Linked DNA regions of Oryctolagus cuniculus. The protein of the gene in region 1 interacts with the protein of each later gene in a pairwise test. Links are inferred from orthologs where the notes say so. Each region holds a gene or a part of one and is shown on either strand. Other genes may lie near its edges. The genes, in order: TPP2, EHHADH and PPP1R16A.

What was found.
Region 2: the proteins of TPP2 (region 1) and EHHADH interact in binary tests that used the Homo sapiens proteins (3 or more experiments, as listed by UniProt). The two-hybrid records come from large-scale screens. The link is inferred for Oryctolagus cuniculus from reciprocal best matches to the Homo sapiens genes TPP2 and EHHADH.
Region 3: the proteins of TPP2 (region 1) and PPP1R16A interact in binary tests that used the Homo sapiens proteins (3 or more experiments, as listed by UniProt). The two-hybrid records come from large-scale screens. The link is inferred for Oryctolagus cuniculus from reciprocal best matches to the Homo sapiens genes TPP2 and PPP1R16A.

What each region holds. Positions count from the first base shown.
Region 1 is NC_091440.1:10,086,790-10,090,969, reverse strand, and holds the start of TPP2 (tripeptidyl-peptidase 2), read left to right. Parts: upstream 1-1,242; 5' UTR 1,243-1,348; coding exon 1,349-1,513; intron 1,514-4,180. UniProt on the Homo sapiens protein: Cytosolic tripeptidyl-peptidase that releases N-terminal tripeptides from polypeptides and is a component of the proteolytic cascade acting downstream of the 26S proteasome in the ubiquitin-proteasome pathway.
Region 2 is NC_091435.1:94,913,630-94,917,751, reverse strand, and holds the start of EHHADH (peroxisomal bifunctional enzyme), read left to right. Parts: upstream 1-1,314; 5' UTR 1,315-1,406; coding exon 1,407-1,480; intron 1,481-4,122. UniProt on the Homo sapiens protein: Peroxisomal trifunctional enzyme possessing 2-enoyl-CoA hydratase, 3-hydroxyacyl-CoA dehydrogenase, and delta 3, delta 2-enoyl-CoA isomerase activities. Catalyzes two of the four reactions of the long chain fatty acids peroxisomal beta-oxidation pathway.
Region 3 is NC_091437.1:168,197,997-168,200,573, forward strand, and holds the end of PPP1R16A (protein phosphatase 1 regulatory subunit 16A), read left to right. Parts: intron 1-217; coding exon 218-321; intron 322-398; coding exon 399-523; intron 524-606; coding exon 607-732; intron 733-812; coding exon 813-888; intron 889-957; coding exon 958-1,087; intron 1,088-1,175; coding exon 1,176-1,326; intron 1,327-1,435; coding exon 1,436-1,825; 3' UTR 1,826-1,937; downstream 1,938-2,577. UniProt on the Homo sapiens protein: Inhibits protein phosphatase 1 activity toward phosphorylase, myosin light chain and myosin substrates.

The DNA.
Region 1 (4,180 bases):
ACACACACACGCACAGGTATCACTGAGGAGACTCACAGACACACACACGTATCGCTGAGGACTCTCACGGACACACACACACACACACACGGGTATCACTGAGGAGACTCACAGACACACACACGCACAGGTATCGCTGAGGACTCTCACAGACACAGACACACACACACACACACACACAGGGGTATTGCTGAGGAGACTCTCACAGACACACACACGCACAGGTATCGCTGAGGACTCTCACAGACACAGACACACACACACACACACACACAGGGGTATTGCTGAGGAGACTCTCACAGACACGGACACACACACACGCACAGGTATCACTGAGGAGACTCACAGACACACACACGTATCGCTGAGGACTCTCACGGACACACACACACACACACACACGGGTATCACTGAGGAGACTCACAGACACACACACGCACAGGTATCGCTGAGGACTCTCACACACACACACACACGGGTATCGCTGAGGAGACTCACACAGACACACGCACAGGTATCGCTGAGGACTCTCACGGGGACACACACACACACACACACACACACACACACACACACACACACACACACACGGGTATCGCCGAGGAAACTGAAAGGGACGCGCCGCCCGGGACGGCTCCGTAACGGGGCGGGAAGCCGCCGGAACCACCCGGAACCTCACCTCGCTTCACCAACGGGTTCTCCCCAACGCCAGAAGCCGACGGTAAGCAGCGAGGTCAGGCGCGGCGCACTTCACTCTCGGGTCTCTCCCGGCCCCGAGAGCCCACAAACTCACTTCCTGCCGACGCCACGCACAGCCGCCCCCCGCCCGCCGCGTCCCAGCCCCGCAGCTCCGGATCTACGGCCTGGCCTTCCCACCTAGCGCCCGCGCCTTCCCCGCACCCCGCGGCTCCCCGGACTCGGCCAGCCTCAGCAACTCCTCTGCCTGGGGCACCCCACGCCCTCCAGGTCAGAAACCCCGCGGCTCCGGCCTCGCCCTCGCGGACGGTGTGTCCGTCCAGCACGCCCAGAGTTTTGACTCGCTCCCAAAACACCCCAAACGCGGGTTTCTGTAAAGGTTCGAGAACCGAACCCCCAGTTATGCTCTCAGACTCCGCCCCCTTCTCTGCAGCCCGGGCAACACTCGGGGCCGGCGCCTCCGAGCGGCGCCGTTGGTTGACGAAGCAGCACCTGATTGGCCGCCGCGCCCCCGCGAGCCGCGATTGGCCGAGGGCCGGCCGGCTCCTCCCCTCGCCCCCGCCTCCGGCCTGCGGCCACCCGTGTGTCCTCGCGCCGCTCGTCCGCGCGCAGCCTGGCAGTTTGCCTCTTCCTCGTCCTCCAGCCTTCGCCCATGGCCACCGCCGCGACCGAGGAGCCCTTCCCTTTCCACGGTCTCCTGCCAAAGAAAGAGACCGGGGCCGCCTCCTTCCTCTGCCGCTACCCGGAATATGACGGGCGCGGGGTGCTCATCGCGGTCCTGGACACGGGGGTCGACCCGGGGGCTCCGGGCATGCAGGTGAGTCAGCCCCGGAGGGCCCGGGCGCGGGCGGCCGGGGACGCCGGGGAGGACGCGGCCTCGGAGCCCGCTCAGGCCGGGGCCCCGCTCTGCGGCCGTGCCCAGGCCGGGGTGGGCAGCGCCGAGAGCCACCATGGCCCGCCCAGGGGACCCGGCTGCGCCCAGGTGTCGGGGGCGAGGGCCGTGGTGCCGCTGGCCAGACAAAAGCGGCGAGCCTGGCGTGGCTGGCGTGGGGAGCCCGGGTCCGCCTGGGCGCTGCCAGGCCGGACACCTCAGGGCGCCAGCCCCCCACCCCCGCGCCGTCGTCTCGGGCACCGGTCCCTGCCAGAATCTTGCAGGTTTTTTTTTTTTTTAATCCCGGATCTGGGGAATGGGGCAGAAGACCCTCCGAGAACTTGATTGCCATGGCTGTGATTTGGGGGATTGGGTTTTTTGGGGAAGAGGAGTTTGAACACGAGACCGGGTTTTCGAGACGATCGCTCGGCCCACTTCCGGAATTGTTTCTTGTGGTTGTGTGTATTCTATTTTTAAACAGTCTCCTGCAGTGTGTGTGTGTAGGGTCCTTGACTCTCCTGACTTTGCATTCGTTTTACGTAGGCATCCAGTTTAGTTTGTTTCGGGCGAACTTTTCGTACCTTTGGAAACGATTCTTGTGTGTGTGTGTGTGTTTAATCTGGAAACATAAGACAACGCGCTTTAATTACTACGGTTTTCAAAAATTACTTAGTTTTGCCTTACGCACCTCTAAGATTCGTAGATCAGGGTACCATGTACAAAGGTAATTTTAAAAATGTGTGTCTCTGTTAGAAGCATTCTGTTTTTAAAAGTTTAACTTTGATAAATTTAAGCTTTTGTTGAAATCCACTAGTAAACAACATTTTACTGGTGTTCAGAACTTACCTGCCCGAATCTTCCTCGACTAGTTCTGCTGTATTTTGATCTCTTGTGTTTACCAGTGTTTTCCTCTGTATCTTACTGCCCTTTCTACCATAAACAGTAACGTTTAATAAATCTCTTTCTCCTTACCCCTAATACACCCCTCCTCCGCATCATTTACAGTGCCTTCTGCTAATTGAGGTCGTATTATGGGGGCTTAGGAAAGTGGAAGCCAGTCTGGCCAACTTTGTATAGAAGCCCTCTAGGAATCTTGCTTCCTGGTTTTAGTTCTTCAACACCACGCTCTGGTGCGAGCACCCCACACCCAATGGCGGCCCTGCCAGGCAGCTTTGATGATGAGTTCCCTCCTGGCAACTGTAGTTTTTATAGTCATTGTTGTACTAATAACTCTTAAGACTTAAAACAGTGGCAGCTATCACCTCCTTGAGGCTTTATTACAGACTAGCAATGCCTTCCATTCTGCTGTGGCCTGTGTTTACATTTTATAGGGATAAGTGGGAGGAGAACAGCTGGGGTGTGCGGCTCACTGGTTCTGTTGTCAGGTTAATAAAAGAGTATCACAAAAATTTAGAGAAATACAGCTCAGTAGATATTTGTAGAATTTCCAGATCTGTTTATCAGGTTACTCTGTTACTCTGTCAAGTACCAGTGATTTTCATGCTGCGGTATTGTTATGAAAATTGATTGAGATTAATTACATGTGACTTTTTAAAATGCTTGAGAAAAGCATTAAATAAACAGTTTTTTTAAAAAGCAAGGATATTCAGTAGGAATTTATGCTGGCTCCTTAATCATCAACTCTCTGAAGGGTGAATGTGTTAGATATTTACGTGTAAAAACATGTAAGTATTGAAACAATAAAATGTTGAAGTCAAATGAAAGCATAACTCTTTGGATAGCTATTTTTAAAACGATTTATTTATTTATTTATTTGAAGGAGTTAGAGGGGGGAAAGAGACAGTAAAAGAGGAGAGAGAGTTTCCACCCACTGATTCATTCCCCATGTTATTCACAGCAGCCAAGGCTGGGCCTTCGGACAATTTTTTCTGAGATAGTGACCTGACTACCTCCAATTAAAAGAAATTCAGCAAGGTAGACTGAACTTATGAGCCTAAGTGACATCTTTCTTTTTTTCTTGTTTTGTTTTGTTTTTGAGAGGCAGAGAGAGCAGGCTCCCATTCACTAGTTCACTCCCCAAATGCCCAGACCAGAGCTGAGAGCTGGAAATTCAATCCAGGTCTCTGACATGACTGGCAGAAGCCCAAGTACTTAAACCATCACCACTGCCTCCCAGAGTCTGCATTGGTGGGAAGCTATAGTTGGGAGCCAAACCTGGGTACTCCAGTGTGGGCTTCAAGCTTCTTAACCACTAAGTTAAGTGCCCAATCCCTGAGTGACTTACTAAGGATTTTTGCCCTTTACAAAGTTATTTTGTAGTTTCATGTATACATCATTAACACATTATGTTCCTAGTTTTCAATTATGCAAATATTTCAACTAAATTGGCACAGGTGCAGAGTTACCATACATGGTATATTTACTGCTCAATTTTTTTTAAGTTGTCCTATTTATAGGACAGTGGGACATACTGAAATACAATAAGAAGGTAGATACAAATAAAAGGAAAGAAAGAATAAAATACAGGGAAGAGGAGGATGAACTGGCCATTTGGAAAGCCAAATGGGATCTAAGTAAAGGAATAGAGGCTTAAAGTAAAAACTTCAAGGAACACAGGGAGTTGTCTCATTCTTTGGCAATGTCCTTGGACCA
Region 2 (4,122 bases), on another chromosome or scaffold:
TCTTTGTGCAACTTTGAGCTGGAGGCCGAGTACTACCAGAGGAGGGACCCCTTGTGTCCCAACAGACATGCCACACTGCGTCACACACACCACATACACAAACACTCTGTTTACAACCGGGCATAGCCACGCACACACTCAAGTACACACATACACAGCACCCACACTCCATTTCAGTCATACACAGCCTCGTCACACGCACCTCTGTGCCCCCGACAGTCACGTCCCAGATAACGCACTTCACACACCCACACACTAGTACACACGCGGCCGCCCACAGCACCCTGCTCGGCCGACTTCCCCCTCAGCCAGCGGGCTGCAGCCCCCCAGGTTAGGGGGAAGGAGTGAGGGGTTAGGAAGCACGCGCGCAGCGGACGGGATCTGGCGACCGCGCTCCCCGGAGGCGCCGGGCGCGTGCGCGTGCGCGAGAGGCGCGCCTTTGGCCGAGGGAAGGGAGCGAACGAGGCGGCGGCGACAGGACCCGCTTGGGTTGCGGCGCTCCCGAAGCCGCCGCTCGCGGACTCCCGGCCCGGGCCCGTCCGCCCTCCCGCGTGTGCCGGCGCCTCGGTCCTGCCGGCCCAGACGCCGCTGGTCCCGGCTCCTACGCTGGGCTGCAACTGAGGAAATGAGGGTGGCGCGGGCGCCGGAGCGGGGCTGGAAGAGCGAGAAAGTGAGCAGAGCGCCCGCCGATTCCAAATTACACTCTGGGCACTTGAATGGAGGAGACCGAGAGACCGAGCCCGTTTAGGAAACCTTGTACCGGCCTGAGATGGGAGGGCAGGGGCTGGGCCTTGTTCAGGTTGAGCCACCTGCAGAGGTCCCGCACGTCCCAGGGGCTCAGCTGATGGGCGGATGGAAGATGCATCAGAAGAAAGGAGAGAGGATGGGCAGACGAACTGGTGGACCTCACGGGGCTCCGTGATTGTAAGACAAGTGTCGCTCCTTGGTGGATGTTAGCACCACCTGGTTTAGGCGGAACGCCTGATGTGTGTAGTATGTGTGTTCTGGGTGTGCAGCACGCCCCGTACTCGGCGGGGCACCACACGCGTGTTCCTGAGTAGTGTGACGAGGACAGCTGGCCCCATTCCCTGAAACCAGAACTCGTCCCAGGCAGCCAGCCCCTAGGGGCCGGGGGTTGCAGACCCTGCCTTGCGGACGACTCCGCGGTTTACGGCTGCCGGTCGCCCTCGTGGACGCGCTTGGTGGCGGGAGCCCCACGGCAGCCGAGACCGAAGGAGACCGGAGTTTGCGACGCGGGCGGTGGAGCCAGGGGCGGCGGCGGGGTGGCGCCCGGCGCGCATTGGCCCAGCGGGCGCTCCTCCTCGCGGGGCGGGCCTCGGCGCCCGGAAAAGTGGCGTCTCCCTGCAGCGAGAGGCAGCGGTGGTGGCTTAGGTGACAGAGGAAACATGGCTGAGTATTTACGGCTGCCCAACTCCCTGGCGCTGATCCGCCTCCGAAACCCTCCTGTCAACGCCATCAGGTAACGGACAGTGTTCCTGCCGCCTGGGCTTTCACTCTTCCCCTGCTGACTTGAAACTCAGAGAGACCCTGACCGAGGCCGCGCGGCTGCTGTGTGCCAGGGTCTTTGCCCAGGTTAGCTTGGCTCGTCTCTGCGAACTCTCCTCCGGGGTACTGGCAGGCATTGGAGGCTTAGAGACGCAGACGCAAGGCTGCCAAGTGAGTGCTGGGTCTGTGCGTGCCGACTGCCTGCCGAACCCTCCTGCTTATTTGTAGCTTTGGCTTCTACGGTGGACTTTCTCTTCCAAAGGTCTCGGACTTAATACAAAGGTGGACCTTGATCCAGCCTCACCTCCCTAACACAGAATCCAGGCTGCCCTTCCAGCGTGTGCCTAAAAGCTTTAAGAATCAGACAAGAAAATGGTTTAATATTTTTGAAAAATAAAGTAAAATCCCCATAAATGTCAATGCAACGCGTAAAGGAGAATTCTGTTAGTCCAGGGATTCAGGATTTTTACTGGGAAGTTCCTTGTCAGAGTAAGCCTACGAAATAGCATTTTCTCTCTCTCTCTCTCTTTCTCTCTCTCTTTTTTTTTTTTTTTTTTTTTTTTGACAGGCAGAGTGGACAGTGAGAGAGAGAGACAGAAAGGTCTTCCTTTGCCGTTGGTTCACCCTCCAATGGCCGCTCTGGCCGGCGCACCGCGCTGATCCGAAGCCAGGAGCCAGGTGCTTCTCCTGGTCTCCCATGGGGTGCAGGGCCCAAGCACTTGGACCATCCTCCACTGCACTCCCTGGCCACAGCAGAGAGCTGGCCTGGAAGAGGGGCAACCGGGACAGAATCTGGCGCCCCAACCGGGACTAGAACCCAGTGTGCAGGCGCCGCTAAGCAGAGGATTGGCCTATTGAGCCGCGGTGCCGGCTGCATTTTCTTAAAAATTGTGCGGTTTATCTTCTTTTATTTCATTGTGGGATACCTTCTTTGTAATGCACTTAGCATTACTTTTAAATTTTATTTATTCACTTGAGAGAGAGAGTGCACGCTCTCATTGTCTAGTTCACTTCCCAAATTCCTGCAATAGCGCCACCATAGGAAGCCAGAAGCTTCAGGTCCCAATCCAGGTCTCCTGCATGGGTGACAGCAGCTCCGTTGCCTGTGCCATCACCTGCTGCCTCCCAGGGTGTGCATTAGCAGGAAGCTGGAATCAGGAGCTGAGAATCAAACCCAGGAACTCCAGGGACATGGACATCTTAATCTCTAGGCTAAACACCCAGTCCCTAAAGCTTTATTTTTTAAAAGTGAGATTGGGGCCAGCATTGTGCCATAGCTGGTAAGGCTGCCGCTGGCAATGCTGGCATCCCATAAAGGTGCCAGTTCGAGTCCCAGCTGTTCCTGGCTCCTGGCTTCAGCAGTCCAGCCTTGGCTATTGCAGCCATTTGGAGGAGGGAACCAGCAAATGGAAGATCTCTCTGTCTTTCTCTCTCTCTAAAATCTGCCTTTCAAATAAACAAATCTTTAGAACAATAAATAAATAAAAGTGAGATCAGTGCTGCCTTTTTGAAACTTAATGAAGCTCACTTGGTTTCATGCTTATATGTCTCTGTAAAAAGTGTGGTTATACATAAGCCTTGGAAAGAGCCACCCATCCACGGAGGGTAGGATTAGTAAAATTATTATTTACATAGAATACTTAAAACATAGACAGAAAAATCTTTGGTCAAAACTCTAATCACATGCTGCTGGAGCAAAAATAAACTAAAAGGAGGAGACCTGCTAGTTTTAACTAAATCTTTAATCCTATCATCAGGTTTAATTTTATCATTACTATTAATATTATAGCTCTTATTTTAATATGAATTATAGCATTTAATAGTACAACAGGAATAAAATCACACAAGATGGTATGTCCACTTACTATTCCCAGAAAAAAAGCAAAGTTCTGTTCATTGGTTCTGAAAAGGGAAAACACAAGAAATGTGCTGACGCATCACTGTGGACTTGCCTGAAACACTCAGTGGCAGCATCCTGGTGCAGCCTCTGCTCAGCAAGACTTCAGGGACACGGTTTCCGGAGTGCAGCACTATAACTAGCAGTGCGTTCTGCTCTTGGATCTGCTCACCTCCTCCACCCCCTGCAGGAGTATTGTCGCTAACTCCCTCATAAAGCTGCAGGGAGGTTACACCGAGCAACACCTCCCTCCCTCTCCTGCCTGCCCCTCCTGAGCTGCTGTGTAATGGTGGTGTACATCCTAGCAAGGTCATCGAGTTTGACAGGTTCCCTGATCTGGTAAAAATATTTTATTTATTTACTTTCTTTTTTTTTATTTTTTATTTTTTTGACAGGCAGAGTGGACAGTGAGAGAGAGAGACAGAGAGAAAGGTCTTCCTTTGCCGTTCGTTCACCCTCCAATGGCTGCTGCGGCCGGTGCGCTGCGGCCGGCGCACGCGCTGATCCGATGGCAGGAGCCAGGTACTTCTCCTGGTCTCCCATGGGGTGCAGGGCCCAAGCACTTGGGCCATCCTCCACTGCACTCCCTGGCCACAGCAGAGAGCTGGCCTGGAAGAGGGGCAACCGGGACAGAATCTGGCGCCCCGACCGGGACTAGAACCCGGCGTGCCGGCGCCGCAAGGCAGAGGATTAGCCTAGTGAGCCGTGGCGCCGGCCTT
Region 3 (2,577 bases), on another chromosome or scaffold:
CTCCTGCACCCCTCAGCAGGTGGGCCACGTCCCCTGCTTCTGGGGACCTGGAGCCCAGGTGGAGACTGCAGGGTGGGCTGTGTGGCTTCGCGCCAGGGTGGGTGCAGGCAGAGGGGAGCCGGAGATCTCCAGAGGCAGCCCTCCCCTGGGCCTGGGGGAGGGGCCTGGTTTTGTGGACGAGGGTCCCAGGACCAGCAGCCGCTCCGTCCCCCTGCAGTGGCGCCGATCTCCTGGCCGTCAACGCGGATGGGAACATGCCCTACGACCTGTGCGAAGACGAGCGGACGCTGGACTGCCTGGAGACTGCCATGGCCAGCCGTGGTGGGTGCACGTGGTGGTCCCCGTGCCTGGGGACGGGGGGTCCTGGGGACGCCCCCTCTGAGCCTGATGCCCCACAGGCATCACCCAGGAGGGCATTGAGGAGGCCCGGGCGGTGCCGGAGCTGCGGGTGCTGGAGGACATTCGGAGCTTGCTGCGGGCTGGGGCCAGCCTCGATGGGCCTGTGGACCATGGGGCCACGCTGGTGAGGACCCAGCCGCCTGAGTGGGGGTGGGGTGGGGGGGCCTGCCGGAGGGGCCAGGACTCAGCACTGGGTCTTGCCTGTAGCTGCACGTCGCGGCCGCCAACGGGTTCAGCGAGGCAGCCGCTCTGCTGTTGGAGCATGGAGCCAGCCTGCACGCCCAGGACCGCGACGGCTGGGAGCCACTGCACGCCGCGGCCTACTGGGGCCAGGTGGGTGCTGCGGCTGGGGGCGGGGGGCGGGGGGCACGCCCTGCTGCAGACCCCTCAGCAGCCCGGCTGGTGGCCCACAGGTGCACCTGGTGGAGCTGCTTGTGGCGCACGGGGCCGACCTGAATGCGAAGTCCCTGCTGGATGAGACGCCCCTGGGTGAGCTGGGGCTGCCTGTACCTGGCAGGGGGACGGGCGGGCTCCCGTGACACCGTGCCTTCTCCGCAGACGTGTGCGGCGACGAGGAGGTGCGGGCCAAGCTGCTGGAGCTGAAGCACAAGCACGACGCCCTCCTGCGCTCCCAGGGCCGCCAGCGCTCCCTGCTGCGCCGGCGCACGTCCAGCGCAGGCAGCCGCGGGTGAGTGTGTGGGCTGCCGGCCGGCAGGCAGGGCCCGGCAGGGGCTCAGGCCGAGTAACCCTCCCTTCCCCTGCCCTCCTGCGAGCAGGAAGGTGGTGAGGAGGGTGAGCCTCACGCAGCGCACCGACATGTACCGCAAGGAGCACGCGCAAGAGGCCGTGGTGTGGCAGCAGCCGGCGCCGCCGCAGGACGACGAGGACCGCCGGGCGGACGCTGAGCTCCAGCCAGCGCCCTTGGAGGTGAGCGTCCCCCGGGCAGGCCCGGCAGACGGCCTGGGCTGCGGCCTGACGGCAGGGGCCCTGCCACCCCCAGCGAAGGCCTCTCCTGACAGCTCGGCCCCGCCCACAGGACAACCCCGAGGTGCTCCGGCCACACAACGGCCGAGTAGGGGGCTCTCCAGGGGGCCACCTGTACTCCAAGCGGCTGGACCGGAGCGTCTCCTACCAGCTCAGCCCTCTGGAGAACAGCACGCCGGAGGCCCCGGCCCGGGACAAGGCCCACCACACCCTGGCAGAGCTGAAGCGCCAGCGAGCGGCCGCCAAGCTACAGCGTCCTCCAGCCGCCGGGCCCGAGGCCCCGGAGGCCCCGGAGCCCCCGGAGCACAGCCCGCCTGCTGACACTGAGAGCCCCCACCCCGACTGTGGCGTCGGGGCCTGCGGGGACCCGCCCCTGCTCAGGCTCACCGCCCCCTTGGAGGAGGCCCCTGTGGAGAAGAGGCCGTGCTGCCTGCTCATGTGAGGGCTGCCTGCCCTGGCTGCCGGCGCCCGGGACGGACCTGGCCAGCCATGCCCAGGGCTTCTGGCTGCAGAGACTATGCTGGGATTCTGATAAAGGGCTGCTTGGCCACGGAGCCTTGTTGTGTGTCTCACCTGGGCCACCGTCCCCACAGTGGGAGCAGGTGTGCTGCTCAGCTGGGCACGCCCGTCCCAACGAGCTCGGGAAGCCTGTGGGTGCGTGCCGGGGCCCGCACGTGGCAGTCCCGGCGCTCTGGGAGGGGCCCACAGCCCTGTGCAGGAAGCCTCAGTGCTCCCCTCCTGAGTCCTGCCTTCCGGAAGGAGCAGGGCGCTTTGGGGGGCCACTCCTTGGGGACCAAGGCTGAGGGTGGCCGTGCCAGGGGGCGGAGACCCCAGCCTGGAAGGGGAGGTGGTTTTCCCAGGACTGCTGGGCCCGAGCCAGAGGGGCAGAGCAGGCACAAGGCTGGCATTGCACACTTCCCTGGGGGAGGGGGCGGGTCCGTCGTCGCTGGCGTGTCGCCCTGATCCTGGCTGCCAGCTTCCGCCTGGGGTGGGACAGGGGACAGGCAGTTGGCCACTTGGGCTCCAAGCTGGCTGGGCACAGTGTGCCAGAGTGAGAGGGGCCCCTAAGGGGTCTCAAGAGGGAGGGCTGAGGGCACTGCCAGTTCATGTCCATGGCGGTAGCTTTGCACACCCGCCGGTGCCGGGGGGCATGGGTGTGAGCTACTGGCCTCTCCCCCCGTCCCCTGCTGGGCA